3 linked regions of the Drosophila melanogaster genome follow. The protein of the gene in region 3 interacts with the protein of the main gene of each other region in a pairwise test. Each region holds a gene or a part of one and is shown on either strand. Other genes may lie near its edges.

Region 1 (3,758 bases), on a different chromosome or scaffold from region 3:
TGCACCATTTTCGCTGTGGTCCTCTGCGGAGTCGTGGCAATGATCATAGGATACGTGATCCGCAAAAGGAAACAGCGCCTGGCGGGCAAGGATGTGATTGAAGCAAGTTAGTATAGTTCGATGCAGAAATCCTTTGTTGCTGTCCTGTGTTCTTCCCAATTGTCAGATGACGAAGCTCCGTGTGTGAAGTTCCTGTGTCTTGTTTTGTTCAACAAAATGGAGAACGGAGAACAATCTATTTAATTTTTTATGTTTAACTACTTAGTTTCGTTATTTATTACATGGTTGTAACACTACAAGATTGCCGAATCAACTGCTTAATAAATAAGAAAGTTTACAAAAACGACGACATTCAAAGTTTAAGAAAATTACTTTATATATAGTAGCTTTCTTTTCGTAAACAAAAAAAAAGTGGATACACTATTTGCCTTTGCTAAGAACTTAAAATATATGTTTTATTTAATTCTGATGTGAACAGAACATTAAGAACAAGATTTAAAAAAAAAGCGGATGCAGCCACTATAAGTCGTTTACAACATTTAAGCGTACTCAAAAAAATAATGGTACTTTTTAAGAATGTGGTACTGAAAAAATAATTTTATTTTTTTATTGCTTCCATGATTTTAATTTTCTACAAATTTTGGTTAAATATTTTGATTCATTCGGTGCATTAACGCTATGTTGCTGTTTTACTACGTTCTTAGTAATTTAGAAAAGTTTAAAAAACTTCTATTCAAAGGTCATAATTTTTGATATACACATAGAAAAGTAATGAAATCTTTTAAACTTTTTTGAGTGCGGCTTAGTGAGTAATGATTATTCTAATCAAATTTTTAAGCGAATGGTGGTATTTACCTTTTGTATATTATGCGTATGAGTAATTATTTAAAGTGATTTAAGATTTTAGTTTCTTTGCTCCTTTCGTTCGGATCGGTAGGGATTTGGAATTTAGCAAAATTTGACCAATAATGGCAAAATATACTTCAATCGCAGTTTTCTTCAATGTATTGTTTTTGTACTGCATTTACCTCTGCTCGATCGTAAAGTTTCCTTTTTTGTCAGCCTATTATAATTTCAAATAATTCAATCATCTTCGGTGTAATATTGTAGTTCATAGTAGTTGTCACTGCTTTCATTGGGAAATGGAGTGTAATTCTGACTCATAGTGACTAAATCATAAATTTCAAATCGATCGCAAATTTGTTTTTTTTATTGAACTACGTACTTGTTGTGCGTTGTAAATCTTAATAAATGTATTATACATTTGAGACCATTTATGATGTCACATATCAAAGACTCTATAAGCAGATGGAAAGACAAAGAAGACAAGAATTTATATTTATTGGGTATTTTAGCGGCTTCTGGTTGGTTATGCCTAAAAGTACGCTGCAAAAATGTGCGAATGGTTCACTAAATTACTAAAATTAAACAAAGAGCTAAGTAGTACTTGTTTCATCCATACTTGTTAAATACTGAAAATCCAGCTGGTTATATAAGTTTTCTGTATTCTGGATAAATATTTTACACACAGTCTAAACGATAACATGCATATTTTTTTTCGTCCGCTTTTTCTTATCGTAATAAAAAGGGCTTAGTGAATTGAATTTTTTCCCAGATTCAGTCCAAAAAGATCTGAGCTTAGACACACAGTTCGACCAGTTCATTTACTCAGTTCGTTGCAGTCAAACGTGTTTACTAGAAAAAAGATGCCTCCTTTAGAATTCCCACCGCCACCTAAATACGATGCTCCAAGTGTCGATAAACTTCCTGAAGCGGGTGCCAGATTAATAGCAATCATTTTTATGCTTTTTATCTGGGGCTATTGCAAGTGTTGTTGTTCTTGTTGTAAACGCAATAAGACGGAAGGTAAGAGCAATTCTTAACGTATCTGTACGATAAGCCAACTCTCTTATTTCAGCATCTATTAACACTCACAGATAATTGCAGTTTCAGATAGTTATCTTAGTCTATAGGTCGCGTTTGCAGTGCAATCATGAATTTTCTTTTTGTGAATGTTTTCAATTCGAATTCAAATGAAGACGACTTTAGTTTGATTATAGTGTTTGCGATTTTTGTATTGACCATTTGTATTGGGGCCATTTGTATATGCCTACGATTAAAAATTGGAAAGGAGATTAAAAACTGTAAAGGTTGGTAACCCATTATTAAGATACCGTACTTATTATTTTTATGCTGCTGTCTGCTTTAAAAAGAGACACATCTTAATGAATCAAAAATTTCCGCTTTATGTAGTTAGATCAAGTGGCATGTAGTTATTTTATAATTATAATTTTTAATGATAAAATTAACAACATTTTGAAACTATTCTGCGTATTGTCCACTTTGAGTCACTTTGTTCATTATTGCCACATGTAAATAGAGGTAAAAACTCACATGATAGCGGTATCTGCATCTAATACACTGAAAAACTTGTTTTTCTAATTAAATCCATTACTCGAAGACGTCATTCAAAGCGTCTGCATTAGATTTCCTAACTTGATCTTGTAAATTGATAAATATATGATAATAATGGGTATTGCCCAAGGTTTAGTGCTTTTGCTTCCTATCTGCACTGTCAATTTTATTTATGGTTCAAATATTCAAGTCATTGTCTAGAAGAAATTTTGGATTGTGTGCGAATTTAGTTCTTTAGCTAGAAGTAAAGTCTTTTGCATGAGAAATCCGAGTTAATATTAAAAGATGTAAGACATATTTAAGGCTTTTAATTTCCCCTCCAAATACAATTAAAAATAATTTCTTATCCAGTATCCTAAACTTTAAAAGCCTCTGTTGTGAAATAGTCCGGCTATCTTGGTATACTGAGATTTAGGACTTGGTTTGGAGTGGGTAATGACTGGGTGTTATTGTTATATTTGTGCAATATATGCTGATAACAACGACTGTGATTCCCTACTATTTCGGATTCCATTTCCAAATGTGCCACTAAATGCTTCGTTTACGCCTAAACGCAAATCAATAATTAGGTATTAATGGCTAATGGTCATAAAGGATTGAGTGTTGACGTACGTTGATCCCGAAATGCAGGGTAATTCAGAAAATGATTATGAAACCCATTTAGTTAGGTCGCAGGTCCTCACGATGAATGCCACCATATTGGATGTGTTTGAGGACATTTCCCAGCGACTGCACATAAACTGGACATTTCTGGCATACGAAGCTTGTATCCTCACGGTTTTGGTTGCCCTTGTTGTGATATATGCCTTAAATCTTGCTCGAAATCCGGAAGACTTTCGATATTGGAACAATTTGTAAACGTATTCCCGAAATGAATAACGAAACGGAGGTCAGCTCCTTGCTGGAGTCCCAGGAACGCTCTGTGGTTTTCATATCCGTTTTTCGCATAACCTTCAAAATATTCATTTTGGCATTGATCGGCCTGGTTGCACTACATTGGAAGCGTCGTCAGGCTCTCGGTGATTTAAGTAAGTTATGATAATGGTTGAAAGTGTACTGTTATCACTGATAAGTGCTATCTTTATGAGTGTGATTGCCCTTTTCTTTGGCCATTACTGGCACTTTTTCGATTGCCAATCCGGCGGCTTTAGTTTCTCGCTTTTGTTTAGTCTTTGTGCACCGCTTATTCAGTCAGTATCATAATCATGGATGATTCGGGCATCTACTGGATACTTTTCTTCACCTTCTCCGTATTTTTCATGACATCCGCGGCTGTATTTCTGACCCGTGGTCGAACCCGGAGAGCGGCGCTCACCAAGGGTGCAGGTGTGTTTTCGGGGATC
Region 2 (3,758 bases), on a different chromosome or scaffold from region 3:
AAGACTGACGATGACAATATTGCCTCTACCTCGGGATCCTCGTTGGCTTCAGGCCATGCTGAAAGTCCCTCCACTTCCTCCAGCAGCAGCCAAAGCGTTTTAAGGTCCATCCACTGGCCGCCACAGACAAGGGAAGTGGCCGTTGCCCCACTCACTCCGCCAGCACTCTCCCCGCCCGGCACGCCAGCACTTCCGGCTCCTCTGACCCCGGCAACCTCGTCGCCGCATAACAACCATGAACAAAATCAGCCAAGTAATATCAGTGCAGACGCAAGCCACCACACCAGTCCAAGTTCAAGGAGCAACCCCAGTCCCAGCCTAAGTAGGAGCAGAAGCCAGAGTGCGGAGTTGGAGCCAGTGCCGCCATTGGTTGAGCTTGACACCAGGGAGACGCTCTGAGCTGATCGCCGCTGCGGCCGATAATGTTTTGTACTTGAAATACTCCTGTGGTCTGTTAGCTGTTAGTCTCCGCGCTTAGTTATATTTTGCAGACCGTGCTGCTCTTGTTATCTAGTCCTTCCCAGTGCCCCAATGCTTGGTGGTTCCAAAACCTGTGCATTGCATATTGGTTTTGCGTTATTACCTTCGTTATATACTATATGTATATACATATATATATATATAGATATATGTTTTTATAATTTTATTGTGATCCAAAAATAATTCCTTATGTTTGCAAGGCAGCAGAGTTATTTATATAAGCAATATAACTGAATTCTATGCACACACACACCCACCCACACACACACCACACACACACACCACACACACACACACATGTTTAACGCGAACTCGAATGCGATTTCCGAGCAGCTGAACCAAAATTGTATACGATATCCGATCGCATAGTATAAATCTGTACTGTCTAGCCTTATGTCCGGTCCATGTCCTTGTCCAAATCAATCCATTTGATCCGCAACTCGTAGTCTTTAGGCTCATCGAGCGGCCCAAAAATTAGGCTCTATTTATTAGGCAAATTTTGTCATAGTTTGTATTGCACGCAAATAAAAGCTAACCAAAAAAATGAAAACACCGCTTATTGTTTCACTTGCAAACCAATCGGTTTCTTATAAAATTTTTAAAGTCCCTCACACATTTCAACCACGAATTGTGCCGTGTGTGACCACTGTGCACCACACATGCCACCCACTGTTGCCCCAACATCCACAACACGCTCCACTGTTTTGAAATTCCGATCAGAGGCGACCCACGGCCGTGCTGCAGCGGCAGCCATAAAAGTCGAATCAGAACGTTAAACCAGTTGCGACGCACAGTGGGCGTTGGGAAGAGAGAGAGGGACGCCGATCCAGCGAGCGAATCAGAAAGAGATGGCGAAATGCAGTGCTAGCCAAACGGGAATTTGTGGGTTCTTGAAGAAAACTAAAAAAAAAAGAAAATATTACTCATACGCCGCGTTGTCTACATGATTTAATAATATATATTGCATATTTTGTACGGATGGTTTTAATAAAATGTAAATGTTTTATTGAGAAATCTAGACAACTGTATTTATTTAATAGTTTTACTTTTATTTTGGAATGAACACAATCACACAATACGGTCAATCTGGCCCACTGTGCCGATTATAACAGTTAGCGGCGCAGGCGCAACAAACTAGTTTGCCCCACAAGCAGCGGGGAGTGGCAACTAAGGGGGGTGGGGGGTGGTTCTATTTAGGGCGTTGCAGGGGCGTCGTCAAAGGGCGCGCGCAACTAAATAGCCAACTGACTAACTAACTAACTGGGAGAGCGCGAATGTGAGTGTAAGTCCGAGTGGGAGTGGGAGAGCGAGCGTGAGTGCGCTAGTGTGGAGCGGAGCGGCGTGCGGTTAACCGTTAGCCTGCAGCGGCGGCAAGTTCAGCTCGCAGTTCAGTTCAGTCGACCAGCGGCCGCCGTGGACAAAGCAACGTAACGCCAAAGCAATCGCAGCGCAGCTCATGGATATATAGCTACAGTTAACTACCAGATACTAAACTACACACATTTCACCACATACCCAAATATACCCACCACACGCGGCATATATCTCTATATATATATTTGAGAATTAGAGGCGTGGGGGTTTAGGGGGTGGGGTGGTAACTCGCGCGAGGGCGTCACACGCGTTCATATACATCAGATATAGATATATAGGGTAGCTGCCGATCGACCAGCGAACATATAGAAAGCGGTGGTTATTTTTCTCATCTTATTTTATTGTGACAAAAATCGCGACAAGTGTTTAAAAATAGTTGTTGTGCCCAGCTAATAAAGTAAACTTGCCCGCCAAACTGAAACTGAAACTGAAACTGAAACTAAGCCAAGCCAAACTATAAACAGCAACAATATGGTCGAGACCGTTGTCAATATCGAGCGCACAACAACAACAACGACGAACGGACCGCCAGGTGGAGCGAACCCGACCGTTGGCAGCGGTGGCGGCTTCTGGAGCGCCATTCGCCTCAACATCGACTATTTCCGCACCATACCGGGCATCATCAAAATTGTGGAGTTTGTGAGTACATACAACTAGCTGAGATATATCACTACTATATTTTTATAATTCATTATAAAACAAATGAAAATCTAATACTTAATATTGCAACATATGATATTTCGAAACTATTGAATACGATCCACTTGAGTAGAAGTCTTTTAAAAACTGAAACCAAAAACTGGGCCAAATTTCCAAACATATCAAAATTATGTACATTACATGTTTCTAAACTCTTAGATTTAAAATATGCATAAATGTCGGTTTAAATAGAACTTAGGAATGCGATTATGTTGAAAAAGTACCATAATGTACATACATTATTTTGTGGAATGCTAAATTCAGACATAAGTTTCCGAATTTGGCTGTTATCGTATTTCCTCGAAACTGATAGAGCCTTCGAAACATAAAGTTTCAGAGGGAAATATTAAAATATACGTTGGATAATTGTTGTAGAGAAAAGTTAGAATTCCTCATAGCACTCTTATCGTCATAAATTGAACGGTTTTATCTAGAGTTTGCCTTCCGCCACCATTCTTTATCGAGATATCTCGAGACTTAAGAAACCCTAGAGCCTCGATGTGTACTCAATTACACAAATATGTATACAATATGCCCGACAACAAGTGTGTTGTGCACTTGCCCCTTTTGTGTGTACATATGTCAGGATCTCATTAGACTTACGACGGATAAGATAGGGGTAGACAAGTTGTAGGAACTGCAAACATGTGAGCTCCATGGCCATGTGGTCAACTCATAGCCCTCTTCTTGTATTCCACAGACGTTAAACACTTAACGCATTTGGCCTGGTATTCGAAGCTATGTATGATCTATCTTTTTTCCCACAAATCCGCAGCAAAATGAAGTTAAAGTGTGGGCGATGCAATCGGTATGCGACGCCAACACAAGGTACTCGCAATTATATGAGTGGGCACTGGGGTAACTCAACTACCGCTCGGATGGATCACCTGCTCAGGTGTAGAAAGTTTTCAGGCAAAAATTTCTCTATTCTCAATGGGCCAACGCTTGGTGGGCACAAGGTCAAGGGATAACGACAAGTGCTTGGGACCCACATGAAAAATGCATTATTAAGCGCTCGTCAGTTGTTACGGAGAAAATCAATAGCGGATAAATGGGAGGAGTGCTGGGTGCTTCGATGATATGATTACCGTCACAATAAGCTGTCGTTTATTAACTTATATATATTGATTTTCTGTTCTGAAAATCGGCTATTATCAGGCGACTAAGCTAGTTTAGCTGACGGCTGACGAAGTAATTTGCGGATG
Region 3 (3,758 bases):
TAAATCAAACTTTCTTTTCCGCTTGCAAAAACATGACCAATCTCTTGATTACTTTTCGACTTAAGCTTCCTCTTCTCAGACTAAACCCAAATCGATCAGTTTATCGCATCCACTCTCAAGCTTTCAAAACTTATCCACATTCAATTTACTAAAACACTTTGCCGTAATCTCTATTTCAGATCCAGCTCCAGTTAGCAGACCGTTACACAAAAGCACTAACACAAAACACTTGGCAGAGCAGCTCTCCTTACGTTTAACTTTAATTACTCAATTATTTGCCAGATTTTGTTGTTTTTCACTTCTTAAGTTGGAAATTAGCCGCGAAGTACGCAGACCTAAAACGTTGGCCAACTGATTAGAGCGAGCGAGAGGCGGCGAGGGGCACAACAACGATCATATCGGATCGGATCTCGGATCGAATGGGAATCAACTATATATCGGACTACTACAGCGCGCGTGTGCGAACGCGCTACGAACCAAACTCAAACTGACGACCGAACTTCACTCCACAGAAATCCACGAGCGAGCAAACACAGCAAATACAAAAGCACAAGCAAAAGCAAAGACGGCGGCAAACAAAAAGAAAGAAGCACAAAGACAATCGAAAGACAGACTCAAAGCTTAGCGAAAGAGTCCGTTGAAGTTCTTTTGGTAAGAACCACAAAAAAGGCGGAAAGGCTTAAATAATCCTTGAACTTAATAATAACCTACATAATATAAATATCCAAGTGTATATTATCAGTCACTTTTGTTCGTTTTGTAACAATAGTCGTACATAGTGGCCTTTGGAAATACATACATAAACTTTATCAACGCGGTCTCATTGAATTATTTTTCTTATTTTAAATGTCTTTTAATTGTATATATTTTCTTATTATACTCAGTGGGAGACTGTTGATCACCTGTGCCGAAAAAAACGTATCTATAATAGAAAATGGGAGATGCTTAGATTGTAGGAAGGAAAATACGGAAATGTGTCGGATTAAAGAGACAGGATTCAGTTGTTATGAAGGAAACTTTTATAGGCGATTGGGTCGTCTACAAGGTGAATTCCCAAAAACAACCAATAAAGAGGGTGTTTGCGTTCCACCCGGACTGCATATCGGTATAAGAAGCATTTGAATAGTAATAAAAGACTAATTTTTTAATTTTACAGATACTATGAATGCCAAAGTCTGCTGCGTTTGGTCACCAGAAATCGGTTGTCAAATCTTATTAACTGAAGATCACCAGGGTGAATTTTGCTTCACTTGCAGAGTGAAATATAAAATGGAATACAAAGGCCTAATTTCCTGTCCGTGCGTAAAAAGTGAAGGATTGGGCCAACCCCATGTGAAATCATGGCAGAACTTTATTTTCACATATTTACTCATAAAATTATCCAGTTTTACCATGGGGCTATAACTTATAAATTTAAAATGTACATATAATTGAAAATTGTTATATATTTTACAGAGAGTTCTAAATACAATAAAGCTTTAGATTAAAATTTGTTTTATTGTGTAAAAATAGAAAACAAATCACAAATACTATGCAAAAATATGAGGATTTTACAAATGAATTTATTATTTTTTCAAAATATTTACAACTAATGTTATCAATATGAAATTAATATTAATAATTAATATTTTATTCACAACGAAGGCAATGGCATTAAAATAATCTCACCTGATACCTCGTATGCAGATGGTTCGAGTCCACGCTCAGGCGCCACCAAAGTTTTGCACCAAGGTTGCAGTCCATAGCCGAAGATTTTGACATGAGTGTGGCCAACTATCCTCAATCCGCTAGTTACACCTCTCCACGGCAAAACCATTAAGGCGTTTTGGTATTCGTGAGAAATCGCTGCACCTCCGTGAGCCCCCCCTCATTCTTTGAATCCTCGCCAACGAGCCGCTAACGTTGCTGACGAATAGTAAGTGCGAAAATTCCGAGCGAAAATTGCATAAGTTTTGTAAAATCGAAATCAAAGTAGCCGAGCGGTGCTCTATCGCTCCCTTAACATACACTAAATTTACGTGGTTGCTTAAAATCCTTCGCTTTTCGGGTAAATTTGGTGTCGTAAGTCCGGGTGCTCGGAATTCGAGGCACGCCGTTATGTAACCTACAAAAGCGAAAAGCAGCTGATTACCCAGCTATATATATAATTAGATAAAGCACATGTCGCCTCCGAGGTACATATATACGTAACTAATGGATGGTCTCTCTACTTTCAGCCGACCCCAGAACAAGAACAGAATCAAGATGTTCTCCAGCTTCTTTGAAACTGCCCGGAACTCGCCATTCCGCACCCCCATGTCGATGGCAAGATGCGATGCCGCCGCCCCAGTGGTGGAACCCCAGCCGGTTGAGGGTCGCCAGATCGCCGCCGCCGCTACCCCGGTGGCCAACCAGCAGGATTCGTGCGAATTCGGCAGCACCAAGTACTTCGCTCTGTGCGGAATTGGTGGCATTCTCAGCTGCGGCACCACCCACACCTTCGTGGTCCCACTGGATCTGGTGAAGTGCCGTCTGCAGGTCGACCAGGCCAAGTACAAGAATCTGGTGCACGGATTCAAGGTCACCGTGGCGGAGGAGGGCGCCCGCGGACTGGCTAAGGGCTGGTTCCCCACTCTGCTCGGCTACTCGGCACAGGTGAGATTGGGCTTCACTTTATGGGTTGCATAATCGTCTGGAGGCGAATTATATGCTCGTGACCAGGTCGGCTGACCTTAATTACATCGGTTCCGGGCTTGAAGCAGATAAAAGTGATTCGAATCGAACATTAGGAAGTTTGATTCCTAGGCTGATATCTTAGTATACCTCAGAATAACAACACACCTTTGACAACTTTATGGTTACGGGAGAAACAGATACCGAAGATAAAATCTTGGATACTACTGCAAACTGAAAAATAACTTCTGAGAAACAGCAGGCTAATCCGCGTTTCTGTATCTTTCAGGGTCTGTGCAAGTTCGGTCTGTACGAGTTGTTCAAGGTGAAGTACGCCGAAATCATTGGCGAGGAGAACGCCTACCTGTACCGCACCTCCTTGTATCTGGCTGCTTCCGCTTCGGCCGAGTTCTTCGCCGATATCGCTCTGGCGCCGTTCGAGGCCGCCAAGGTGAAGATCCAGACTATTCCCGGATACGCCAACAACTTCCGCGAGGCAGTGCCCAAGATGCTAAAGGAGGAGGGCGTCAATGCCTTCTACAAGGGTCTGGTTCCCCTGTGGATGCGACAGATCCCATACACCATGATGAAGTTCGCTTGCTTCGAGCGCACCGTGGAGCTGCTCTACAAGTAAGTAACATTTCCTCTTTAGGTATCCTCTAGTTTCTACAGCGGAAAAACTTACCAGTGCTGTGCACAATATCTGTATTCGTATTAGCGTTTTGCTATTACAATAGTTTAAAGGTAGACTGTTAATCTGTGAAATTTCAAAAGTGATATGCTAATTGATCAAAACTGAAAGTATTCATAATAAAATAAACTTTTAGCGCGTCAGCAGATAAGAATGCCATTCGTATCTAATAAATGGCACGCCAGAATAAAAACCAACGACGAATGCTTATCTTGTTCAAATATAGGAAAATCATATTATTTCAGAACTAGTTTGTTACTATGGATAAAATAAAAAAAGCAAAGCATTCCTTTTGAAGTGCAAATTAGCAGGTAGCCACTGAAAGTTCAAATGTAAAAACTAGAGCAATACCGTTCACAGTTCGGGTTGTCAAGCCCCAACGAACCCCGTTAAATCAATACTAATGATGCAACTT

Evidence for each region.
Region 1: the proteins of Mpcp2 (region 3) and CG17574 interact in a two-hybrid assay, tested with the Drosophila melanogaster proteins (one large-scale study listed by BioGRID).
Region 2: the proteins of Mpcp2 (region 3) and CG15211 interact in a two-hybrid assay, tested with the Drosophila melanogaster proteins (one large-scale study listed by BioGRID).

Annotation. Positions count from the first base shown.
Region 1 is NT_033778.4:12,851,431-12,855,188, reverse strand, and holds the start of CG17574 (uncharacterized protein), read left to right. Parts: upstream 1-1,648; 5' UTR 1,649-1,706; coding exon 1,707-1,866; intron 1,867-3,606; exon of another isoform or gene 3,607-3,620; coding exon of another isoform or gene 3,621-3,741; intron 3,742-3,758.
Region 2 is NC_004354.4:10,770,674-10,774,431, forward strand, and holds the start of CG15211 (uncharacterized protein), read left to right. Parts: upstream 1-1,867; 5' UTR 1,868-1,953; intron 1,954-2,094; exon of another isoform or gene 2,095-2,124; 5' UTR 2,125-2,325; coding exon 2,326-2,493; intron 2,494-3,758. Other genes in the region: BTBD9 (BTB (POZ) domain containing 9), read left to right, coding at 1-399.
Region 3 is NT_037436.4:14,535,788-14,539,545, forward strand, and holds the start of Mpcp2 (mitochondrial phosphate carrier protein 2), read left to right. Parts: upstream 1-1,863; 5' UTR 1,864-1,915; intron 1,916-1,938; exon of another isoform or gene 1,939-2,061; intron 2,062-2,216; 5' UTR 2,217-2,244; coding exon 2,245-2,634; intron 2,635-2,941; coding exon 2,942-3,282; intron 3,283-3,758. Other genes in the region: CG43246 (uncharacterized protein), read left to right, coding at 847-1,105, 1,157-1,404.